Linked DNA regions of Mus musculus. The protein of the gene in region 4 purifies or fractionates together with the protein of the main gene of each other region. This does not show direct contact. Links are inferred from orthologs where the notes say so. Each region holds a gene or a part of one and is shown on either strand. Other genes may lie near its edges.

Region 1 (3,500 bases), on a different chromosome or scaffold from region 4:
CTCTAATGGCTTTAATAGAATAATGGATGATATTAGCACCTACTTTTAACCAGGTTGTCCTTGAACTCATGGGAGCTGCCTGTTTCTGCTTCCCAAGCACTGGGATTAAAGGCATGCGCCACCAAGCCCAGCTGGATTTATCTTTTCTTAGTCACCAGTACATTGTCCTTCGAATATGGCACTTTTCAGAGATTAGATAAAAAAAATTCTTCAGGAAAAAAACAACATTTGCAGTCTATCAGGATTTTAAACGTTCTTCACTAAGGGACAAAGGTCACGAGTGAAATAAGGACTGAGACACAGCTCCATGGGGCATGCACAGGGCTGTAACTCCTGTGGTCCACAGACACACACACACACACTGTGAAGTGTAGCTTTGGCTCTTCTGGTGAAGTATATATAGAAATAAAAGCAAGACCATAATGATGAATACATATTGATTTCTTACGATCTACTTCTTCCCCAAAGTATTGGCACATAAATGTCAACAGCCTAAAAGAGTACATAATGAAAAGAGGCATTTGAACAGCATGGTTCCAAGTGACTAACTCTATGTCTCCTTTCTCCATAGCAAAGAGAAAGATACTTGCCCGAGCAAGCTTGATTTTAATCCTGATGGAATACCTTACTTCAAAACTGATCCACAAATTAGCTAATGTTTGTCATGAGGCAATTTAATCACCCACTTAAAAGTCTTACGATCTGGGAGTTAGGTGAGCAGCTCAATGGCCGGGCACATGCTGACCATTCTCCAGGCTCAGACTTTTAAATGCCAGCACGCACACATAAGGCACGCGCGCGCACACACACACACACACACACACACACACACACACACTAAACCTTATTCTCCCTAAGTGTTCTTATACAAGAAGGCTTTCCTTAACACAAAGGGTGGAAAGCCACAGTTTTAGGCCAAGGAGACTGCCTGGGAAATTTCACTTTTCCATAGTCCTCACCCTAGCCGTGCCTTACATATTCCATCCCTTACCATGTGACTAACAAGAGCCAAGTTCTCCTACTTAAATCACCAAAACTACTGCAAGGAACTGTTCCTGAAAGGCAGTACGGATGTAAAGGAAACATTATTGGTGTAATTATTAAGAAATAAAGTGCATATGCCTTTTAATATCAATATTGTTTAGTACAGTAGTACAATGAAAATGAAGACGTAGTTCAGTAGCTAATATCTAAAAAGTGTGGGACAAGGAAACAAGTTGTATATAAATAATAACAAAATGGGGGAAAGGGTTGCTCCCCTGCAAAAGAGACACTTGAAAACATAAGAAAATCGAATTGAATTTCTGCTCCCCAGTAAATCAGACAGGCTGCACAGTGACACCCACATGCAACCCCTGAAAGGCAGGGTCACACTCCGGAGGCTGCCCTTGGGCTTCTTCGTTTAACTGACAATTCTCTGGCGTCTGGCTAATTTCATCCTGTGAAGTAGAGGCCACTCTATGAGTCTCACTGTCAGAGGAGGCGTCAAACCTTTCCGGAGAACAAGCGAGGTGACGCTTACCGTCTCCTGCCACATCGTCAGAATCGGCCGCCTCTGCGGCATCGTCCAGCTGCTGGACGGAGGTTAAATACTGTTGGAGCAGAGTGTTGTCCTGCTCACTGGCTGAGCTCTCCCTACTGCAGTCACTGTGCTCCTCGGCTGTGGCCTCCGAGTCTCGGTCTTTGACGCATTTCACCGTGTCAGCGGAATTCCCCAACACGGAGTTTTCGCTGCTTTCTACCGAACTCTTTTCAAAATCCAACGAATCCTGCAGACAGGGAACTTGCTCTGTCAGGGAGGAGTGAAACCCAGAGTCGGGAAAGTCTGGCGCTGATCTCCCTTGCGCAGCTTCGTCCTCAGCAACGAGCCAGTCCGAACTCTGATCCGAAGAGGGGTCCTGATGATGTGGAAATAACGGGGGCTTGGGTGACGCCAGAGTACTTGATATAGGAGGCACGTCGGGCGGCCAGGAAGCCAGACGCTGTTCCACTGTCTGCTGCCAAGCTTGTACAGATCTTACCTGGAAACCAGGACACACAGTTTTAGTAGAAAGTAAACAGCCTGTCTTTTTTAAATGTCCAGAGCTTTTCCCCCACAGAAGTCCTGCAGTTGCCTGCATTCATTACCCGTCTAATCCCTTCACAGGGCTGACCCCAGCCTAACTGGGCAGGCACAGTGTTTTATGTCCTTGGCAGCAAAGCGTAACCCCCAGCACGAGAGGAAGGCCATAGCAGTTCTCCTGCTTCACGGGAGAAATACGACAGCATCTTTCTCACTAACGGATCGATAATGTGCAAAATATAGACAACATCTAGTCGATAAGGGCCGATTAGCACCTCTGAGTCTAAGTGCATCTTCTAAAATGAGTCTATTTTAGATATAGATGCAGACATGGGGTTTCCAGTTATTTTAAAATGTAGTATTTATAACTTTCTAAAATGACTAAAAATACCCCAAGTTCTTGACAATATGGCCCTTAATATTTTAAAGTTATAAAAATAATTTCAATTTTTTACTATAAAAATTGCAAGCTGAGCGGTGGTGGCACACGCCTTTCATCCCAGCACTTGGGAGGCAGAAGCAGGCAGATCTTCGAGAGCTTGAGGTCAGCCTGGTCTTCAGAGTGAGTTCCAGGACAGCCAGATCTACACAGAGAAACCCTGTCTCACAAAGCAAACCAAACAAGCAAACAAAAACAGCAACAACAAAAAGGCAAGGGTGGGAAAGGGCTCAGTAGTTAAAAAGACAAGCTATTCTTGACTGTAGGAGAGCAGTTCCCAACACCCACGCAGGTCACAACGGTACACCCACACAGCAGGTCACAACGGTACACCCACACAGCAGGTCACAACGGTACACCCACACAGCAGGTCACAACGGTACACCCACACAGCAGGTCACAACGGTACACCCACACAGCAGGTCACAACGGTACACCCACACAGCAGGTCACAAAGGTACACCCACACAGCAGGTCACAACGGTACACCCACACAGCAGGTCACAACGGTACACATCTCCAGGTGTGAGGCTTCCACACTCACCTGTGGCCCCAAGGGCACCGTACACACATAGGTCACATGCATACACTCCGGCAAAACACCCATACACAGAAATGTTTATTTTTTTAATTGCAGCTGGTATAGTGCTTGCCTAGCATACACGAGGTGCTGGTTTCAAACCCCAGCACTACACAAATCAGTTGTAATGGGGCACACCTGTAATCCCACCACTTGGGGGATGCAGGCAGGAGGATCAGGAGTTCAAGGTCACCCTTAGCTAGAGTGAGTGTGTGGCTAGCCTCGACCACATGAGAACCTATCTCAAAAATAGAGTAAGATAAAATAAAATGAAGTAGATAAAGATAGCTGGGGAGAGGAGAAAGCCAAATAGAGAAGTTTTAGTTTCACTTTGACTACTCTCCAGGGGAATTTCTTGTCTTTTTTTGAGGCAGGTTCTCACTATACAGCTCTGTGCCATTGAGGTACTTTCTGATAGT
Region 2 (4,066 bases), on a different chromosome or scaffold from region 4:
TTTCTCTCTTTAAAAACTGATTGGAAACAGTGTTTGTAACAATGCCTGTTTCAACCTGTCCTCATTAAAATAGAAAATTCACCAGGCTCGGGGACGGCTCAGCAGTTACAAAAGCTGGCTGCAGTTCCAGAGGATCCAGGTTTGATTCCTAGCACCCACATGGCAGCTCACAAGCCTCTGAAACTCCAGTGCCAAGAGATCCAATGTCTTCTTCAGGCCTCTCTGAAGGTACCAGTCAAATGGTGCACAGACATACATGCAGGCAAAACCCCATACTGATAAAAATGATAGTAATAATTTCAATATACTGAAAATGCATAAATATCACAAGAAAGTATGTTTTACAGTTCCTACTAACAACACTTAAACCAATACCTTATAGATGATCAATGAAAACTAGCCAATTTCCACCAAGACTATAATGTACTGTCTGTCCATATATAACTTCCTAAAAAAATCTCTCTTACTAGCAGCCAAAGACCTGTTATTATCAAACATTTAATTTCAGCAACTAAACAGCAATTGACTTTATCTTTTCTCTCAACAAATGTTACACAATTGTACCTGCAGGGTACTGGATATCCTTTTAAGAGCCAATTTAAGAAGCCATTAGTTTTTTTGTTTTTTGACACTATCCTTCGGAGAAAAAGAGATTTCTGATATGGACAGAAACACTTTAGCCTATCATTTAAAAAAAAAAAAAAAAGCCACGTAGTAGTGGCGGCAGTGGGCAGGGTGAGTCATCACCCAACTCCAAAGTTGCAGCCTTCCTTCTGTGCCTCCTCCCACTGGACCCCAGGCCCTTCCCCGGGTCCCCTGAGTCAGCAGGCCTGCGAGGTTGTGAGTTCTTAGTTCTCACATCCTCCGGGAACTTACATAAAATGCTGCAGCGCTCTCGGCACTTACACTTGTCTTTAAAACCGTTGTCTTTTCTACTGAGAAACTAAATGTTCCGCAAGCCAGTCCTCCCCAGAATCTTTTTTAATCGCAAAAAGTGGGCAGGCTACTTTAATCCTCTCCTGCAAATGACTAAACTGCAAAATATCCTCATATAGAAAGCTGACTTTAAACAATGTTTCATTTTCCCAGGGTCTTTTTTTTTTTTTTTTCAGGAACAGTAATACTGAAGCGATAGAACTGTCTGCTCAAATCTGACAAGCTTCCGAGATGACAATTATTAATTGGGACATCAGTAAAGCAAGATTTATGATGTAATTACATTAATACAACATATATTTTTGTTAAAGCAGCTTACAAACAGGTTTTTAACAACTACAAGCTAAAGATATGTTTCTTCCACTCAATTCAAAATTATTTCCAAACACTAAAATCTGTCATTTCTAGAAACTCTCAAGCTGGGGACAATGGTGCACACGTGTTAAACCCAGCAGGAAGCCGAGGCAGGAGAATCGTTACTCAAAGCCTAGCTGGGACTACGTGGCGACTGTCTCTGCAACCAACAAAATCCCTTTGAGGACTGGACCCTGGTTAGACCCCACATTCTTCTCAAATTCTTTCCAACGCAGTTCTCCAACGTTAAAGAGACAGAACGTCAAAACCCAGAATTTTACCAAAATAAAAACGCTAGAATAATCAACAATTTATTCTGAAGCTAGCTGCTCTTCGTTTGATGGCCTGAGAACGTTTTTATTTCCCCCTCTGACAATCATCTATCTGTATCCATAAAAAGTTAATACTGCCTCCGGACTCTTAGCAACGAACACGAACTGTTTAGATACTGTAAAGAGACCTAACTCCCCTTTACCAAGTCCCTGCGCTCCATCTTTCCTACTTTCAAGTCAAAGAAAGGTAAAACACGAAAGCGATCTAAAGGAGCTTGCTGCACGCAGCTTCCCCAAGGCACCTGAGCCGGAGAGCCAAAGCCAGGCAGGAACAAAAGGCGGCCGAAAGCCCTCCACTCCTCACAACTCCCAAGTCCGATCATAACAAGCTCCAAGTGAGGAGGCCTGTAACCGGTAACGTACGTTTTCATCAGGGTGTTTTTCCGGATCACACCTTAACGTCCGGAAAGGTGTCAGGAGCCCTGTCTCAGGCCGGTCCCCGGCACCTCGTGGACCGCCAGGCACAAACTTGGGCGGACTTAGGGGCAGGAGCAGAGCGCTACGCAACGTGCCGGAGACTTTGCCCGGCCGGAGTCAGCTGAGGCCGAGTCACCCGGGCAGGCTGGGGAGGGGAGGAGACAGGAGAGCTTGAGGGAGGCAGCGAGCCAGGAAGGCAAGCCTCCACCGCCTCAAGCGCTCCTGGACCACCGCCCTCGCCTGCGCGTTGGCGGGGACTCGAACCCGCGGAACCGGGCGCGGGCGGCGGGGACTCGAACCCGCGAAGCGCAGCCCGGTGCAGGCGGCGGGGGCCCGCCAGCTATGCCTGCGGCCGGCTGCCCGGCGAGGGGCGTGCCGGGTGGGAGGGGCGCGCCGGCCGCGCCGCCAGCCCCACGCGGGGACCTGGCCCTCGCAGCCGGCCGCGCCGCCCGGGCTGAGCGGGCACACGGAACAAAAGCGTCTTTGTTGAGCGGCGGCCGCCCGGAGGGTCACACACAATGGACGCGGGAGCCGGCGCCGCCGCCGGGCCCTCTGCCGCTCCCTCCCGCGCCGGCCCGCACCCGGCCACACACACATACACACTCACGGGACTTCTCCGACTCATCGACAGAGTGCAGGGCCCGCGGACAGCCCTCAAGGTCGGCTCAGGTCTCCGGCTGTGCTGGCGGCAGCGGCGTTTCCGAGGCTCTCGCTTTGCCGCAGTCGCCGCCATGTAACCCCGACCCGCCAGAGAGGGCGCGGAGAGAAGGCGGGGCCTCGCAGAGGCACGCCCCCTCACGTCACAGGCTCACTCCACGGCGGCCCCGCCCCCGCCAGCCGGGGAGCCGCACGCGCCGGAATTTCCAACGCCCGTGACTGCGCGCGCCGCGGGGGCGGTCGGAGCTGCACGCGGCCTGCTGGCGGGTACACCCCGGCCTCAGCTGAACCACCGCCCAGAGTGTCGTACCAAGTGACCCGACAGGGCGAGCGTCTGAACGGCTGCTGGGTCCCGTGCTGTCGGGAGGAAGTGGGCGAAGGCGAATATGCTAGGCCAGATTGTTGAGCAGATAAGCTCAGGGTGGTGTTGGGAAGGCCCCTGGGATCGGTCCCCGGGGTCCGTTGGCTGCTTCTAGAAGCATCCGCGGTAACCAGGGAGGTGAATGAGTGAGGGGTCCTGGGAAAACTGAGCAAAAGCTCAGTCAGCAGGGTGGCTGGCTTGTTGAGATCGCTGAGACCAGCCAGAGTTTGACATAGGCGTGCTGAGAAAGGTAGATAGCTGCCCTTCCAGTGCTTAGATGAAATTTAAGTATTTAGGAACTTAGATATAAAAAGCACAGGGTTTGCCTGGGAGTAGTGGCACATGAGTTAACTAGTCTATGTAGTGCCAGGACAGCCTATGCTATATAATAGACCCTGTCTCAAAAGGCTGGGAGAGCTTGTTGTTGTACCCCTGTGATCCCTGTCTTGGAGACCAGAAGGATTAGAAGATACAGTTAATCCTTGGCTGCATAGTGAGTTCAAAGCCAGCCCAGACTACTGAGACCCCGCCTCACAAAAAAGAAAAATGAGAGGTTCGGTTAGCCCTTTCTATCAGTGGTAATTGACCATCCTAAAGAAAATATGGCCACTGCAGTCCATGATCCACTGTAAGCAGCAAACCCCTTTCAGAGATGACACAGTCACTTGAAGTTAAGAGCTTGAGAGGAGCTTCAATGTTTCCTAATACAGAGATACATTAAAATATATGCTTTGTGAGACAGCATCTCTCTATAACTCAGCCTGCCCTAGCACACCTAATCTCCCTGCCTTAGCTTCCCCAGAGCTTGGATTATAGGCTTAGGCAGCTGAGCCCAGCTCTATTATATTTAAAGCAATACCATCTGAATACCAGGAGAAGAGCAGTAATGCCTACAGAAAGCGAGATTTACAGCTGTTGAGTGCAGCCGGCACTGTGAAGTTCTGCTCCACCGACCCACTCTGTCCTCCCTCTAGTTCCTCCTGATGGACTCTGGGACCTCCATCTTCCT
Region 3 (4,194 bases), on a different chromosome or scaffold from region 4:
TATATTTTTATATTGTTTTTCCGTATTTGAAAGTACTTAAAAGACCACCTCTTAAAACTCATCTCCAGTTGCAAAAATCAGAACACTGATGTTTTTAATAGCTGCATATAAATATAATATAAATCCATTAACAGTAATATTATCAATAATAACAAACAAACCTAATTAGAATAAATGATAATATACCAGTAACCATTCATTTAAGGTGTTGGTTTTTTTAAAGGACATTTGAAAAGATCATCTTAAGCTCTTGAACAGAAAAAAAAATAGCTATGGCCAATTAAAAAGAAAATGTTCATAAAAATTGAGAGAAACAATTATTACTGCAATTATTTGAGGGAAGACACAAATGTTTAAGAAATACAACTGAATAAAATTTACATGTCAGAGACATTATAGATACCTAATGAATGCAATGTTAAAAAAAAAAAAAAAAAAACGAATCAAATAGAATGAGTTTTGTCTCAGGTAGAAATCACATTTTTCTAATTTAAAACCATAAAAAGGGTAAATAGCCGGTCCTGGTGGTATACATTTTTAATCGCAGAACCCTGGAGACAAAGCCAAGAGGAGAGTTAGACGTCATCCAGCGATATACCATAAGACCCTTTCTCAAAAAAAAAAAAAAAAAAGGGTGATGGTGGCTATTTCAGGGATAAAAAAGCCACCTACAAAACCTGCATACAAAAGGAATTTTCTAAACTCAAAGTTAAGCTCCTCAGTTATATGAAGAGCAACATCCAAAGAAGTATGTGTATACCACTTCACAACACACCATGCAAGGTAAATATTGACACAAATTATTTCACAACCTACATTCTGATTTTGAAAACAAAACTACAAGTCATCTCATCTTTATTATGTGCTGTATCTTTCTTAAACGATAGACTGCGAATTGTTGAAGTTCTCATTTTTATTACAGATTCTGATACATGGCTTTTTTGTAAAGCTAAGTATTTATGGATTTACAGTCATCCTTACTTAGGCTTATCAGCAATACAGATGCAGTATCCACTTCCTTAAAAGTGCAGTAAGCAGTCTATTTAAGAGGAGAATTTAATACTAAAGCAATTTCTGTCATACATAACAAGACAAAATTTTCCTTTTATCTCTCCTCAATTCTAAATTTACATAATTTACCAAAAAGATATCTTAAGAGTATTAACTAATCTGAGGTGTGTCAAAAACATTCGTCGTGTCTCTTGTCCAATAGGGCTTTGATATTTAGCTTTTTAACAGCTGTATTTCTTAAAGTTCAGGCCATCTTTATTTCAAACGCACTTCCCTATCCAAAACATTTTAACATAATCTGCTGCTTCTCCCAAAACCATGGGTTATACGAATATCCTTCACGAAGTAAGATAATGGTGGATAACACATCCCATATACTATTTAGTTAACATTTCCAACAGTACACTAGCTATTTAACGCAATCCCAAAGAGATTTTATACTGTTCTATTTTAGCATGCTCAAAAGACATAAAAAAAATTGACGTAAAATTGTCTTTAGAGGATTCTTCTAAAGCTGATAAAGTCTTATTAAAATTATACTTTCTATTTTTAAGGCTAACGCAATTATAGCACATTCAACTCTGATTCTTCCAACAAAAAGCCTCCGCATCAAAATGGGGAAAACGTCCTTTTCATTTTCTCAACTGAAAAGGGGGAGGGGAGAAGAGGAGGAGGCCAACTGCTTACAGGTTTGCATTGAAAATTAACACAGCAGTTTCTGAGGAATCAGTAACTCACGTTCAACTACTGAATCCTACCAGAAGCAGCACACGAATAAAACCAGAGCGCAATCCTTGGGCTTGAGGTGCCGCTTCATCCGTCTTCCTTCCAATCCACCCCCAATACCCCAACCCACTAAGCACACATCTAAATATGTCTTCCCCACCAGAGCGCCCCTTTGGAGGAAAAGGCCTGCCTTTCGCAGCCTGAAGCCACGGCTGGCTCTCCGATCTCTGCTTAGATGAGGCCCCCGATCTCGACGCCCTGCACGTCCGCCCCACCCCGGGCCCACTCGGGTACCCGTGGGTGACAAAACCCTCCCTCCTGCGTCCAGCCAGCACTGACAGTTAAGGCTGCAGCAGCCGCAGCCACCAGGGCCTAGTCCTGGCACCGGCCCCTCCAGACCACGCGCCCCAAGCACTCGCTCACGGAGGCGGGTGAGGGCCCGGCGCCTACCCTGTCAGCGCGGGCCGGAGGGTGACGAGGGGACCGGCGGTACAGACCAGAGGGAGCGCGCCGGGCAGGCCGCAGCCGCAGCAGCACTGACCTGTCCTCGCCCCCGCGCGTGGGCTGCGGCCCTCGCAGCTGCGGCCGCCTCACTGGTCCTTGTCGCCCTCGTCCACCGCCGCCGCCCGCCACCGCCTCGTTCCCTTTCGCTGGCGCCACCGCCGGGTCTCATGCGGGACCCGCGCTTCTCCTCAGGAAACCGAGGCCGAGAGGCCAGGCGCCTGGGCAACCTTGAAGTCGGCGCTGAAGCGCTGCTGTCGCGATCTGTCCACAGTGGGGGGCGAGGGCGGCGAGCAACTCCGAAGAGAAGCAGAAGGAGGCGCCACCGTCAGCGACAGGTCGACGGAAGAGAAGCGTAACGAGGCGGTGAACAGCTGCGTGGCCCGGTGCGCGAGCGAGAGAGCGAGCGCAGGAGGGGCGACGAGGTGCTGGCAAAGACGAAAGGCCCTGTCGTCTCCTGGAGTCACCCAAAGAGGAGCGCCACCATCTTGGGAGAAATACGGATCTCGCGAACGCAGCACTGGACGAGAGGACTAGGTGGGCGGACCGAGTATCCCGACAGGCAGCGCGCGCCAACCCTGCCGGGCGAGGGCTCGGAGTCCGGAGGCGGGATGCGAGGCGGGGTTGCGCGTGCGTGGGATGGCGACGGGCTCTGCCCCGCCCCGATCGCAGCTCTGTGGGGCCCTCCTCTAGCTCGCCTTCGCCTGCGGCGCAGGGGCCTTTGGGAAGGGGAGATGGCCTTGGGCTGGGTGGAAGCTGGCCAGCATCGTCGCCATCTTGAGACTGGGCTGAGAGAGGCTTGGTGTTTTTAGCCTCTGCTCCTTTTACTCAATCTATAGACCAGTGTGCTTCGGTGTACTCGCGAGAGCGGACAGGTCTACCCAGCCTAGCAAAGCCCAGGAGTCAGAGGGACGAATAGGCCAAGAGGGTGTAGCCTACTGGCGGCACGAGGAGGCATAGAAGCGTTTTGTTGCTAGAGCTGACCCTTACGACTTTTCATCCGAACTGTCCGAGTAAAGGATTCAGGCGTTGAGATTGGGCAACCTTTCAGCAAACAAGGCCATCAGCCTCTGCCAGAACATGATATGTCACTGGCTTACCAGACTAGTAGGTAAAAGCCCAGCCCCTCCTGTGTTGTCTTCCAGTAGATGTCAACTGAGAAGAAACCGCCTTGCTTGATCACACGTGGATAGAGACTAATTTTGATTTACAGAACACCCGAACCCTGTTAGAGCCATGTGACTTGTTGGTACCGGAGTGAGGGTTTAACTTAGGTTTGTTGTTAATGATTTTGACACTAAATTATTATAAAGACTAGCTGACATGTTATTTCCTGGCTTGCAACTTAGTAAGCCTTAATCATCTAGTGCTCAAAATGTAACAATCACATGTATTAATGTGCTTTTCTGTTTATTACAGCTCCTATAATGTGTGTGTATGTGTGTGTATATATATATACACATCATATATATATGAAAGATCTCCCCACTATAAAAAATATTTTTATTATTGGTTTTTCAAGACAGATTTCTCTGTGAAGCCCTGGCTGTCCTGGAACCCACTCTGTAGACCAGGCTGGCTTTGAATTCAGAGATTCGCTTTCTGAATGCTGGGATTAAAGGCTTGCAATTTTTTAAAATTAAAAAATAATAGGCGTGTGTGTGTGTAAACTATTACAGGATAAATAATAAGTGCAACTGTTATATCAGATTTTAAGATACTTTAAATTTTTTCTATTCTTTTTTTTTCTCCATCCATTAAAGATCCTCATTTGGAATACCATTGTATTATATGAAAGGGGCCAGTAATAAATGTAACCCTTTAAAGAGTTATCTTTGCAAACTATTTAAATACAAAACCAAAACTGAAAATCATTAGACTGCTAAGAAAAGTAAAGTACATAAACTGTTGCAGCATGTGAAGACGCTTTCAGCTATTCACTCCTAAATAAAAGTC
Region 4 (2,509 bases):
GCTTGGGCAGTGGGCACCCGACTCTCACTGACTGCCAGACCTCAGGCGGGGCCTGCAGGGAAGTGGGAGCTTAGAGAGACTGCGACGCGCCGAAGCGGAAGCCCGTCCGCCGCCCGCTCGCCACTTCGATCACGTGTCCCGGGCACCAGCGTCCCTCCGGGGTCTCTGCCTCAGCGCCGGGGCGCGTGCGAGGGTCTTAGGCTCCGCGCCCCCGCCCCTCCCTCGTAGCCCTGGCGCCAACCCCCGCAACCCGCCTTGTCGGCGCTTTCTCCGAGGCCTTCGGCGCGCCTTGGCCTCTACGTCATATCCGGCGGCCAGGATAAATCCTTCCGGAGTCACGACGGCAAACGGCACAGCCGATTGGAGGAAAGGGAAGGCGGAAGCGCTTAGAGACGGGTGCCGGGATGTCCAAACTCCATGTGGATTTACAGAGCGGCCTGGGATGATAAAGCCCCTAGAACTCTTCACTCGCGAGGCCGCGGGAGACAGAGGCGGAGGCAGATGCTCTGAAGACAGTATTTATTGGCTCCTTAGAAATCAGAGTCAGTAACAACTGTACAGAGGCCCACAGCGTCCTCGGGCAGCCCTTCCTTTTACCCACTCCCTCCCCATGGCGCCCAGTGGCCACGGAAAAAGCAGCTTCATGTGGGCACAGAGAGACTCCTTTGGGATTCACAGTAACCAGAAACAAAAACGGAAATAAATTAAGTGATATGGGGGAGGGTAATAATAGGGAGTCATGTTCCCCAAGTCAGTGCATGAAGGGGGGACCCCGAGACGAGCTGGGCTCCCTCTCAGCAGAGGGAGTGTGCTGGGCCCTGAATGTAGAGATGTGCTTCACACCTGCTCTAAATCAAAGCCTGCCTACGTGCTCCTCCTTGCCAGGACAGCACTGGACATGCTCTCAGTCACGGGAATGAGGTGGAGGCAGTCGTCATTCAAGAGTCCTGGGCTTGAGGCCCGGCTGTGCTTGGAGTAGTGGTATGTCACCCCTTATTCCACTCGTACCAGCAGGGCATAGAGGAGTGTGGCTCCCTTCTCCTTAGTGACCCACTCAAGTTCCGATGGGCTGAAGTGCTGGTCAGGAAGTTCTCTGAGGGCCGCAGAGGGAGGGCCAGGAGTATAGGAGCCAGGGCGCACACACACCTGAAAGGCCACCTGAGCCTGGTGTGTCCGCTGGGATTTTGGGTCCCGGAATCTGTTAGCCAAGCAGAAACGAGAGAAGAGTAAGGCTCCCAAGGTCCATGACTGCTAATTCTGCCCCCTCCACCCAGGCCTTGCTGTTTTCTGGGAAATACTGTTCACCGTGACTGGCTTAGCACCAACTATTGTGTATGTAGTACTCTCCTCCCCTGGCCTGCTCAGCTAACTCCTCCCCAGCACTCTTCATGTGTTTATTTACCCTGGCACTCTAGTTCACGTCTTCCAAACACTCCAAGTGCACTTCTCATCTACTTCACCCACTTTTGGGAGACAGTATAGGGTCTCTACCAGGCTGGAGTCAACCTCCCTATAAAGGAAGGACAACCTTAAACTTCCGACCCACTGACCCTGCCACTTAGTGTTAGGACTCCAGGAATTTGTTACAATGCGCAAGCACAGTTTAGGTAGTACAAGGGGTCAAACCCATTGCCTGGTGCAGGATATTTTGAAAGACTTGGTATCCATACACATTCAGAAAAACAGGCCTACAGATGCACTCATCTAATCCACACTCAGCATGGAGATGGAACCAGGAACTGAGTGTTCAAGGCCGGCTTCAGATACAAACCAAACATGAATGTGAGGCCAGCTTGGACTACTTGACATCCTGTTTTAAGAAAAACAAAAACAAAAACAAAAACAAAAAAACCAAAAGGGGCTGGAGAGATGGCTGTTCTTCAAGAGGTCCTGAGTTCAATTCCCAGCACCGCTTACAACCATCTATAATGGAATCTGATTCCCTGTGGCCCATGTGTTTAATCCCAGCACTGGAATTAGAATTTCTAGGTTCAAGGCCAACTTGGTCTACAGAATGAGTTCTAGGACAGCCAGGGATACATAGAGAAACCGTGCCTCTGTGTGTGTGTGCGTGCATATGTGTGTGTGTGCGCGCGCATGCGTGTGTATTACGGGAGGGAAGGAGGAACAGTGACAGGTAAAGGTGCATCCAGGAACAAGCAGGGCAGGAAGGGTGCGGTGGGTGACTGAGCACAGCCCTGAGCCCCTAGTGCTCCCGGCATGTACTCACTGCACTTTGGAGGCCAGCATCTCTGCCCCGGCATACTGAAGGGAGGGGGAGAGCAGCACTGGAGGGGGCTGCTCTTCCCGGGGAGGTGCACAGTTCTCACCAGGCTCCTCAAATCCCACCCCAGGCTCTCCCTTCAAAGGTCGGCAGCTCAGGATGGAGGTAGTACCTGTGAAGAGACCTGGGTGAGGGCAGCCCCATGATTCCTCCCAAGATCCCTCAGCACAGCCCACTCCATGATACCTGCTCCCAACTCCCCTCGGTCCAGCACTCTCCGCACAA
Region 5 (3,500 bases), on a different chromosome or scaffold from region 4:
CCTATTTTCTTCATGCAATTTTTCACCAACAGTGTGTATAAGATCTCAATGACTAGGATCAAACTAAGAAATATATACATACTAATCATGTTTACTAGGGCACTCAGGTAAATAGAATCAGCCACTGTGTCCATCAACAGATGCACTGAGATAAAATGTGGTACATATATATAGGAGAGTTTTATTAAGTCATAAAAATATCTGTAGGAAAATGTGACTACAGATCACCTTAACTCTCAGGAAGACAAATAGTTTATCTTTTCTTCATCTGTAGAATTGAGATTTACATGACATATGACATAGAAATAGAAGGGGAACATTATTTTTTTTTTTGCCTCTAAAAGGAAAATGCATTGTTGTTTATTTGGAACCCTGCTTGTTTGTCCAGTCTCTGAGTGATAGAGGACACCCCAGAGCACTCCAGTACACTTCCCGTCCTTACCATGAAAACTCGCTTTCCTTAGTTCATCAAACTCGAACATTAAAACAAAACTCTTTACCTTTCAAAGACTGCATGGAGTGGCAGGACACTGTCTATTAACCTGTGTGCTGATTCCTCCTCCACAACTTCATCTGTGCCACACGTAGTCTTAGATGTTTGGCGTAAAGTGTAAAAAAAAACCTTACACACAGTAGCCAAAGCTATGTGGTGTGAAGGCATAAGTGGCCAGCTTAGCATTTTAATTCGTTGCCTGTATACATAGTACCTAACAAATTTACTGGTTGCAAGGTTTTTCTCTCAAAAATAAGAATTCCTCTCATATAAAAAAAGAATAGCCCACATTTCTGATAGCTGGCAGCTACCTTACTTGCTGAGTCATGGCCATGCAGTTTGCATGCGAAGTCTTCCCACCATACAGTGCCAGATGATGCAGACCTTCGCTTTCATGTTTCCTGTTTATTCTGAAACAAATCCTCTATCTTTAACTCACTCACAGTAAAGAAAAACATAAGTCATAATTTTCCTGACTATTTTGGCAGATTCTGATCAACTAAAGGAAAAGATAAATGACCTGGAGACACAACTCAGAAAGTTGGAGCTAGAAAAGCAACATTCGAAGGTAATTCGTATTGGTGTCTAACTTTAGTATGCTCAGTGTTTTGTGAAAACAGCTTTGGGAAATAATTTTTATGATCACCATCTTTAAGTGTATAACCCAAAATTCATGGATTTATTTCACACTTATTATTTGACTCATGACAACTTTTTATTAAACAACTATCAACAGCAAAAAATCAGACAAACAGAAAGTACTAGAGAATAAATTTATTTTTAAATTGTAACCAATGCACATCTCTTAATAGTTTTTTTAAACTATTTTCTTAATTTGTGGGTCATGGTGGGGAAAGTGTTTTCTAAGTCCCTTTTGAAATTATTTTCAGGGATCTTTCCCTTAAATCATTTAGTGGTCTGGCTGCTCGTCACTGGTCTGTGTAGATGCTGTAAGCATGCACTTCACCAGGTGCTTAACCTTTCCAAGTCCCAGGGTTCCCATGATCATAAGTATTATATATAAAAGATAAAAAATTAGAACATTATAAATACTGAAAACTCTTGAATGTTGTTGTAAAAAAGCAAAGTCCCTTTCGCTTGCCTGGGAATATCTGAGGCAGTTTAAAGATTTAATCTTATAATTTAGCTAAAGATGGCAGCTTCTACATTATTCACATGGTACAACGGAACCTTGAACAGTAAAATATAAAGAAAAATATTTACATTTAAGATTTTGAGTTTTTATGTTTATAATTAAATCTAAAATTTCAAACCAAAAACATGTATCCTGTATGTAACTTTTAGGAGGAAGTTAAAAAGCTGAAAAAAGAACTGGAAAATTTTGATCCTTCATTTTTTGAAGAAATTGAAGACCTGAAGTATAATTATAAGGAAGAAGTGAAAAAGAATATCCTATTAGAAGAGAAGCTAAAAAAACTGTCGGAACAGTTTGGATTTGAACTGCCTAGTCCTCTTGCTGCTTCTGAACACTCGGAAGATGGAGAAAGTCCTCATAGTTTCCCTATTTATTAGTGCCCTCGTGTAACTGCAGGTTTAAAACTATTTTATGAGTGAAAAAAGTTTCAGCTGGAAATCAAGCAGTCTCTGTGTTATAGAATTTACAGCTCAAAATATTGTATTTTTTTTGTTTAAAAAAATCATATTTAGTTTTAACTTGTTAGAAAAGTATATTTTTGAAGACTTCATTAATTTATGACTATACAGTGCACAATGAGCTATGATAAATATTACTATTTTCATAATAACTTAAATTTTCAAAAAGCATAAAGGTAAGCTTATATCAATTTACTATTTAAAATTGATTATTTTATATTTATTTTTGTGTTAAGATAGTCAAATCCTAACGATGATTTCTATAAATACCTAGAAACATGTTTAGAAGTTGACAGGTTTTGCCAAACAGCTAGCAAAATTAAATGCAAACTATTCAGTCTTAGAAAATCACAATAATCTCAACAATTAGTTCCATTTTATACATCAAGTATTATGTCTTTGAGTCTCTCAAATTTCTGTTTATCTATTTTTGAAAACTGATTAAACAAAGACTGGTTATCAAAAGCACAGTCATAATTGTTCAGGTTCAGGTTCATGTTAATAATAACTGGTTTGGAATTCATGTAAGTATCTGGAAGTGGCCAGCATAAACCAAGATGGTGACGATGGACCTGTAAGGAGAAAAAAATGATGGTATTAACTTTAGTCGAAAACAGCATCGTAACTTATACTTGTGAATACTGCTACCTGCCAGGTCCACTGTAAGGGTCTACCTTTTCTCATTCTAGTTCAGTTCCATAGCTGCTCTTTTGACAGTGCTGTCTGTCTTCCCCATTGGGATATGAGCTTCCTGAAGGCAGAGCAAATGTTTTGTTTACTCTGCCAATACCTGAAAAGTGCCAGTAACATAATGAATATAGTCTGTTAGTGACTACAGAAAAAGTAAGTGTGAGCCTGACTCTAGTGTCACCAAAGGAATGTTAGTGGCAGAATGGTAGGGTAGTCTGGGATCACAGTTGGTTAGGACGTTGCTGGGTAGCTGTTTCCTCCACATGAAAACAAGCACTCTAGATGGAGCCTCTTTAAGACCCAGAAAGTAAACAAACTTCACACGTCTCACTGTACTGGCTAGTTTTGTGTCAACTTGACACAGGCTGGAGTTATCATAGAGAAAGGAGCTTCAGTTGAGGAAATGCCTCCATGAGATCCAGCTGTAAGGCATTTTCTCAATTAGTGATCAAGGGGGGAAAGGCCCCTTGTGGGTGGGACCATCTCTGGGCTGGTAGTCTTGGTTCTATAAGAGAGCAGGCTGAGCAAGCCAAGGGAAGCAAGCCAGTAAGGACCATCCCTCCATGGCCTCTGCATCAGCTCCTGCTTTCTGACCTGCTTGAGTTCCAGTCCTGACTTCCTTGGTAATGAACAGCAATGTGGAAGTGTAAGCTGAATAAACCCTTTCCTCCCCACCTTGCTTCTTGGTCACGATGTTTGTGCA
Region 6 (3,500 bases), on a different chromosome or scaffold from region 4:
GCAGAGCCGAAGCTGTACTGCAGGGCAGAAGTTATGAAGCCTAGAGAAACACACAGTACAGACTAGTATAGTGATCTGTGGCATCATACTGAATGTCACATAATCAGAATATGCAAAATGCTGTAATAAACATTTGTGACACTCGAATAACAGCCATCTCAGAGACTGAGCCAAACGCAGACATGAAATATCCATGGACATTCAGCTTCTGTGCCAGATGGAGCTTTTCAAGACAAACAGAACTCGGGATAACTGATGCTGTGAAAAGATCTTCCTGCTGCTGGGGAATTAGAGGTAATTCCAAACCACTCAGGAGATAGCCAACTGCTCTCACCTGAGCATGGCACCTGCTGCATGAATGAGGGGCCAGGCTCTGGGCCCAACCGCCTGCTCTTGTTATGGTGAGTCCTCTCAAGGACACCTGCTCTGTGGCCTTAGATCCCATATCATGTCATTTTTCATGGCTACTAAACAGCAGGCAAATAGGGGGTGGAATGGGCATTAAATTACCAGAAGAAACCTATGATTAAAATAGCTCACTACACAATAACTGTCAAGAGGAAAACAATTCTTAAAACTCTACCAGAGTTGTTTGAAGTCTGGAGTGAGTCCACTTGGGACAGCATGGTTTCTAGCAAAGCAGAATCGGTTCTTTGTCTCCACTCCAGTGCACTGTTCAAGTCAGAGACGTCCGTCGTAACTGCCTTCTCCTTCAGCATCTTCTCCTGCTCTTCTATTTCCTGCAAGTTGACCATGTAGGACAGCATCCTTTAATGGAATCTGAACTAATGCCACTCTAGGCTTAGCCTGAAAGTGTGTGTAGTGCAGGGTACATGATTGTTTATCTCAATCCTCCCTCAAAGTTAGGATAACTGGTTCAGCTGATTTCACTTTGTAAAATGGTAGTTTTTCATTTTTAAGTTGAATTTAAAATGGGATTAAAAATCACAAAACGCAGGCTGGTGAGATGGCTCAGTGGGTAAGAGCACCCGACTGCTCTTCCAAAGGTCCCAAGTTCAAATCCCAGCAGCCACACGGTGGCCCACAACCATCCGTAAGGAGATCTGACTCCCTCTTCTGGAGTGTCTGAAGACAGCTACAGTGTACTTACATATAATAAATAAATAAATCTTTTAAAAAAAAATCACAAAACGAGTATCTTTATAATATCATTCTTGAAAATGTATATTCAACATCTATTTTTAAAATACCTTTCAAAATATTAGCAATTCTGAATGAAGGATTCAGTAAGGTGCCCTTCCACAAATTACTCAGCGGCTTTTAGGTGAGGACCTAAATGTTAGATTTCACATTCTGACATCAAAATATTATCTACATATCAGGCTCAATGACCACCTCAAAATACGATACACAGAGGGAAACTGTCAGTGTACACACATGGCCCAGATCACACGCTGACTAACCCGACTGCTGGCCACCGCATCTCAGTGCCTCACCTTTTGCAGTTGCTCCTGCTCCCTCTCCTGCTCAGCTATGAGGAGTGACAACTGCTGGGCATGCTGTTCCTCTAGTCTCTTTCGCATTTCTTCAAAAGCTAACATCTTGCTTTTCAGTAGTTCCTGGCCTTCTGAAAAGAAATGTGTGCTTAAATTGAGAAAACTCATTGCGGGTCCAACAGTTCATATTTTTTGCCATCAACCTGAGCTATGCTTCTGACCAGAGGATATTCCTCAAATAACATAGGTCAGACATAGCCAGTTCCCCAGTGCACCATCCTCACTGGCCTCTCCCCTTCTTTCCCGCTACTCAGAAGCATAGCATTGCACCTCCTCGCCTCCCCACTCAGTCAACAGAGCTCCAAGGCTCCCCGTCTCCAGCCAGCGTTAAGATGTGCTCCTTGAGCTGAAGAGAGCACAGAGAAGTAAAACACCTTTGAACCACAGCCCCTCAGCTCAACAGCGCCATTGAGTAAGAGTCCACTTGACTACAAGAACTCTCTAAGGGAAGAGGCACGGGGGGCCGTGGGCAGCTGCAGCCACCCTGTGCCACCGCCTCCTCACTTACTCTCACAGTGATCCAGCCACTTGCATGACCAGCCACATCCTGTATGTTCACTAAACACTAGCACCTGGCTTGGCAGTGGGTTCGTGAGCTCTGGCATTCACTGAGGTAGCCTTCACCCACACATGGTTCTCTACTCAGAGGATGGAAGGTGATTATTCCCCCGGTACCAACTGTTTTGGGAGGGGGGAAGGGCATATTTTTATTGTTTTGGAAAGAGAGTCTCACTATGTGGCCTTAGCAAGCTAAGTAGAGCAGGCTGGTTTCGTATGTAGAGCCCCACCTGCCTCTGTGTCACCTCACCCACCTACAGAGTGGTTTTATTAAGGTTCTTATAAAGGTGATTTTTGTTTGTTTGCTTGTTTGTTTTAAGACAGAGATTCTCTCCATAGCCCTGGCTGTTTGGAAACTTGCTCTGATTTAAGGGGAAAAAAAAGTTTTGGTTTTTTTTTTTTTTTTTGGTTTTTCGAGACAGGGTTTTTCTGTATAGCCCTGGCTGTCCTGGAACTCACTTTGTAGACCAAGTTGGCCTCGAACTCAGAAATCCACCTGCCTCTGCCCCTCTCTCTGCCCCTCTCTCTCTGCCCCTCTCTGCGCCTTTGCCTCTCGAGTGCTGGGATTAAAGGCATACGCCACCACGCCCGGTTGATTTAAGAAACCTTAACAAGGCTGGAGAGATGGCTCAGTAGATTAGAGCACTGACTGACCTTCCAGAGGTCCTGAGTTCAATTCCCAGCAATCACATGGTGGCTCACAACCATCTGAAATGGGATCCAAAGCCCTCTTCTGGTGTGTCTGAAGACAGCTACAGTGTACTCATATATAAAATAAATAAATAAGTTAAAAAACAAACAAACAAACAAAACCACAGGAACCTTAGCAAAGGGCAGTAAGCAGGTGCTATGTTTCTAGTAAGATCAGGACAATTGAGTGCCCTCCCATACAGAGGACAATTTATTTCAAATCACTTCTAAGTTTTTACCTTTGGGGCTAGTTTCTAGCATCTTATTCTTGTTAATGTGGACGAATCCCTTGGGGTATCTTCTTTCCAGCAGACGGTCCCGCTCCTGCTCAGCTACTCCAGCTGTTATAATATAAGGACAATTTTCTTTTTGTAAACTATCAACATCTAAATCAAGTCTCCGCTTAACTTTCTCAAAACTGTTATCTACAAACTGCTCGTTTCCACGGAACACCGGCGGTGTGTCCATCTGCTGTCTGGAAGTCTGGGTTTGCGTAAGTAAGGGAGATGGGTGTTTCACATCGTAAGATTTATTCAGTTCCATTTGTAAGTTGCAGGAGTTCTTTGCTAGCAGACTGGCTGACTTGAGTTCACACACATCTTCCAAGGTTTGACTTGACACACACTGACTGCTGGGCTGCAGTTCATGCAACTTGGGCACAGCCATACAAGTACCGTCCACCTTCTGGGCTCCCCTGTCATCAGCTATGAAGGGACCTTCCATAGCAGACCGCTC
Region 7 (3,221 bases), on a different chromosome or scaffold from region 4:
TTGGCGACCTTTTGCTGCCTCATTCCTATACAATGTGTCCTCTCCCAAGGGAAGGATTCTAAAAGCACGGGGATGTGGGAGGCCCGAGTCTGGGGTAGGAAGGTAAGACTGTGCCTGACTCTTACAGTGCATCACTGCCCCTCCCCACAATTTGTCAACATCCTAGCAGCCAGAAGATGGAGAAAGATGGTAGAGTCAGGATGGTTAAAGGAAGGAAAGGAAGCCACCAAAGGGACTGAAACTTCAAATGGCACTCAAGTGGAGGAAAGGGGGTACTGGGTCAGAGACAATGATTAGTGGCCCAGCCTTTGGGAAGACTGAGGTCAGTCCTTGGAATAAGGTGTCACTTATCCCTCTGCCATTTACTTCTTGTCCTGAATGCAGAACTTCACCATTCAGGTAGAAAAGACCATGGAAAGGTGAGATGCCAAAAGCAAGGAAAACCATCGAGGAGAACTGGGGCTCACATGCACACTCAGAACCAAGAAAGAACAAACCACGCGGAGGAAAAACTGTTTTTCTGGAGGGTTTTTCTCAGGGGAACAGGGATCAGGATAGAGGTCTCAGTGATCCAGCTGTTTCAGGCTGCCTAGGGCCTCGGCGCAAGCCCGGATAAGCCCACAGAGCTGGATACTAGTCTCCAAGGAGGTGCTAGAGCCCAGCTCGACTGACGCCCAGGTTAGCTTCTGCAGGAGGGCCGTCTGTGTGGAAGCCACCGCGTCCGTATTTGGAGGTGCAGCCGGAAGAGGAGGCGCCTGGGCTGCCTTGAGCCCGGCTGCTGCGCCTTCACAGTGCTCTGGACGGGGTACTGGTGGCTGGGATGGGGGCCGAGAGCTCGAGGCAGGCTCTGTAGATGAGGCCAGCTGGTGTTCCCGAGCTTGAGAGAGCGCCGCCTGTGCATTCAGTGCTAGAACAAGAAAAGTGGTGGAAGAGTGAGGGTGCCCCGTCCGCCTCTCCCGAGTCATGTGCTCTTTACTGATGTCCCTGAGCTGCTGGTGTTTTCTGCCTAAGCCAATCCCATCTCATCTCTACTCTTCTTTCTCCTTACACATGCTTGCCAAACACTGCCCCACTGATTTACACTTGAGGTCCAGTTGCTTGACAGATGGCCTGGCCTCATCTATGCATCAAGTCTATTCCTGTAAACTGGGATGCCCGCCCTTCAGTGGTAAAATGCCTGTCCAACATGCACAAGCACCCAGGGTTGCACGTGCACTCTACAACGTAGGATGACTATTTTGCTAGGACTCTCCCCACGGTGTCAGAAACAAAAGGCTGATGGTCTTTCTTGAATGAAACACCTCTCTAGGGCGGAAACGAGAAGGCACCTTAATGCCACAGCACGCAGGAGTTTCCACTGTCACCTCCCAGGCTCACAGTTCCTCTGTAGCTATCGCCACTCTCTTCTCCCCACAGTGCACACTCGGACCCTCACCCGGGTTATCTTTATCCACGTCTGAGTCGAGCTCCTGACAAGCCACACAGTAGATTTTCCGCTGTTTATCTTGCAGGAGGATCGTCTGGGGACCAGAAAGTACATGGACATAGGTGAGCCGGAGAGACAGGGTTCACAGAAGAGGGAGCTGAGGAAAGGTCGTGCGGCCCGGTCCGCGGCCTCGGCCTCATCACTCGCCTCACCCCGCAGTCGGCGCACGTGTCGCCCAGCATGCGGTAACCACGGAGCAGGTAGTCCCCCATCAGACGGGAGATGCGATCCTGCCGCTCCCGTCGCGCCTGCAGCACCTTCGTCTCAGCTTCAGTCGGAGGCTCCCAGGTGAAATCGTCGACATCTAGAGAAAACAGGCACAGGAGATAGAGAGAGCTGCCTCCCGCACCCCACGGCCACTGCCCAAACATCCCAAGCGCATACCTGCACCGTTCAAGGCCATGTTGCCGTGGTCACTGCTGGGCTCACCGGAAGTGATCCAAATAAGATGCGCCCCCACTACGGCCCCGCCTCCCACATGTGGTAGCTGAGGGCGGAAGTGACGCTTACACGGTCTTCCTGGCGCTTTAGTCAAAGGGGGGGCGTGTCTGCTGCACATTTGACCCTGACCTACGGGCTCGGCTGGTGGCCAGAGCTATGGTTGGGTACCACCGTCTCCCTGGTAACGCTTCAGTACTCGGGTGTGGCTTTTCAGAGTCTCCATTTCTACTTGCCTCAGATAAAGTGGCCCTTAGGTCTGTGAAATACCCGATTCCCTCAGGGTTGTCTTTCCACACAGGGGAAGCAGGAGATGGGCAGGACCATGACATCTGCCCAACAGTCACTGCAATAAAAAGTTCTCTAAATCTTTCAAACTAGGCTAGCTACACTGAGGTCGTTTTCTGCCTATTTCAACACTCCTCCCTGTTTGCGTGTTGGGTGTCCTCTGTCCACCTTCTACCAATGCCTAGAACTGATGTAAGCCTGCTGTCTTAGTTAGGACTAGTATAGCTGGGATTAACACCATGACCAAAAATAACTTGGGGAGGAAAAGGTTTGTTTCGCCGGGCATGGTGGCTCATGCCTTTAATCCCAGCACTTGGGAGGCAGAAGCAGGCGAATTTCTGAGTTCGAGGCCAGCCTGGTCTACAGAGCGAGTTCCAGGACAGCCAGGGCTACACAGAGAAACCCTGTCTCGAAAAGCCAAAAAAAAAGAAAAGAAAAGAAAAGAAAAGGTTTGTTTCACTCATGGTTCCATATAACATGTTCATCAAAAGCAGGAACTCAAGCAGGGCAGGAAGCTGGAGGCCATGGAGGAGTGCTGCTTACTGGCTTGCTCCTCATGGCTTGCTCAGCCTGCTTTGTTACAGAACCCAAGAGCAGCAGCCCAAGGATGACCCCACCTACAATGGGCTTGACCCTCCCCCACTGATCACTGGTTAGAAAGTGCTCTACAGGAGAGCCCACCAGATCTTACGGAGGCATTCTCTCCTCTCAGAGGACTGTAGGGCCTGCTGGTGAAAATGGCTTATACTCGAGTGGGTTACAAATCAAGGACCAGTGCTCCTCATAATCCTGGGTTCTTTGCAAGAGCACCAAGTAATTAAAAGACCAAGGGCTGGAGAGATGGCTCATCGGTTAAGAGCCCTGGCTGCTCTTCCAGAGCTCCTGAGTTTAATTCCCAGCAACCACATGGTGGCTCACAACCATCTGTAAAAGGGCTAAGACACCCTTTTCTGGGGTGTCTGGAAATAGCTACCATATACTCACATGCATAAAATAAATAAGAGGAGGA

Evidence for each region.
Region 1: the proteins of Neurl4 (region 4) and Cep97 purify together in Homo sapiens (affinity purification with western blotting; 4 studies listed by BioGRID and IntAct, with this or other methods). This does not show direct contact. The link is inferred for Mus musculus from reciprocal best matches to the Homo sapiens genes NEURL4 and CEP97.
Region 2: the proteins of Neurl4 (region 4) and Mapk6 purify together in Homo sapiens (affinity purification with mass spectrometry; 6 studies listed by BioGRID and IntAct, counting the BioPlex papers as one, with this or other methods). This does not show direct contact. The link is inferred for Mus musculus from reciprocal best matches to the Homo sapiens genes NEURL4 and MAPK6.
Region 3: the proteins of Neurl4 (region 4) and Ube3a purify together in Homo sapiens (affinity purification with mass spectrometry; 3 studies listed by BioGRID and IntAct, with this or other methods). This does not show direct contact. The link is inferred for Mus musculus from reciprocal best matches to the Homo sapiens genes NEURL4 and UBE3A.
Region 5: the proteins of Neurl4 (region 4) and Cep290 purify together in Homo sapiens (affinity purification with mass spectrometry; 3 studies listed by BioGRID and IntAct, with this or other methods). This does not show direct contact. The link is inferred for Mus musculus from reciprocal best matches to the Homo sapiens genes NEURL4 and CEP290.
Region 6: the proteins of Neurl4 (region 4) and Ccp110 purify together in Homo sapiens (affinity purification with western blotting; 4 studies listed by BioGRID and IntAct, with this or other methods). This does not show direct contact. The link is inferred for Mus musculus from reciprocal best matches to the Homo sapiens genes NEURL4 and CCP110.
Region 7: the proteins of Neurl4 (region 4) and Znrd2 purify together in Homo sapiens (co-immunoprecipitation; 4 studies listed by BioGRID and IntAct, with this or other methods). This does not show direct contact. The link is inferred for Mus musculus from reciprocal best matches to the Homo sapiens genes NEURL4 and ZNRD2.

What each region holds. Positions count from the first base shown.
Region 1 is NC_000082.6:55,903,849-55,907,348, forward strand, and holds part of Cep97 (centrosomal protein of 97 kDa), read right to left. Parts: intron 2,022-3,500; coding exon 1,320-2,021; 3' UTR 1-1,319. UniProt on the Homo sapiens protein: Acts as a key negative regulator of ciliogenesis in collaboration with CCP110 by capping the mother centriole thereby preventing cilia formation. Required for recruitment of CCP110 to the centrosome.
Region 2 is NC_000075.6:75,407,217-75,411,282, forward strand, and holds the start of Mapk6 (mitogen-activated protein kinase 6), read right to left. Parts: upstream 2,801-4,066; 5' UTR 2,647-2,800; exon of another isoform or gene 2,639-2,646; intron 2,144-2,638; exon of another isoform or gene 1,986-2,143; intron 1-1,985. UniProt on the Homo sapiens protein: Atypical MAPK protein. Phosphorylates microtubule-associated protein 2 (MAP2) and MAPKAPK5.
Region 3 is NC_000073.6:59,227,356-59,231,549, reverse strand, and holds the start of Ube3a (ubiquitin-protein ligase E3A), read right to left. Parts: upstream 2,801-4,194; 5' UTR 2,279-2,800; intron 1,861-2,278; exon of another isoform or gene 1,750-1,860; intron 1-1,749. UniProt on the Homo sapiens protein: E3 ubiquitin-protein ligase which accepts ubiquitin from an E2 ubiquitin-conjugating enzyme in the form of a thioester and transfers it to its substrates.
Region 4 is NC_000077.6:69,911,816-69,914,324, reverse strand, and holds the end of Neurl4 (neuralized-like protein 4), read right to left. Parts: coding exon 2,471-2,509; intron 2,397-2,470; coding exon 2,231-2,396; exon of another isoform or gene 1,511-2,230; coding exon of another isoform or gene 1,417-1,510; exon of another isoform or gene 1,199-1,416; coding exon 994-1,198; 3' UTR 501-993; downstream 1-500. UniProt on the Homo sapiens protein: Promotes CCP110 ubiquitination and proteasome-dependent degradation. By counteracting accumulation of CP110, maintains normal centriolar homeostasis and preventing formation of ectopic microtubular organizing centers.
Region 5 is NC_000076.6:100,571,082-100,574,581, forward strand, and holds part of Cep290 (centrosomal protein of 290 kDa), read left to right. Parts: intron 1-981; coding exon 982-1,061; intron 1,062-1,192; exon of another isoform or gene 1,193-1,798; coding exon 1,799-2,026; 3' UTR 2,027-2,484; coding exon of another isoform or gene 2,485-2,679; 3' UTR 2,680-3,500. Other genes in the region: 4930430F08Rik (uncharacterized protein C12orf29 homolog), read right to left, coding at 2,485-2,679. UniProt on the Homo sapiens protein: Involved in early and late steps in cilia formation. Its association with CCP110 is required for inhibition of primary cilia formation by CCP110.
Region 6 is NC_000073.6:118,722,543-118,726,042, reverse strand, and holds part of Ccp110 (centriolar coiled-coil protein of 110 kDa), read right to left. Parts: coding exon 3,005-3,500; intron 1,589-3,004; coding exon 1,458-1,588; intron 741-1,457; coding exon 584-740; intron 41-583; coding exon 1-40.
Region 7 is NC_000085.6:5,729,806-5,733,026, forward strand, and holds Znrd2 (protein ZNRD2), read right to left. Parts: upstream 1,928-3,221; 5' UTR 1,890-1,927; coding exon 1,871-1,889; intron 1,791-1,870; coding exon 1,639-1,790; intron 1,521-1,638; coding exon 1,436-1,520; intron 908-1,435; coding exon 564-907; 3' UTR 501-563; downstream 1-500. UniProt on the Homo sapiens protein: Might play a role in mitosis. Antigenic molecule. Could be a centromere-associated protein. May induce anti-centromere antibodies.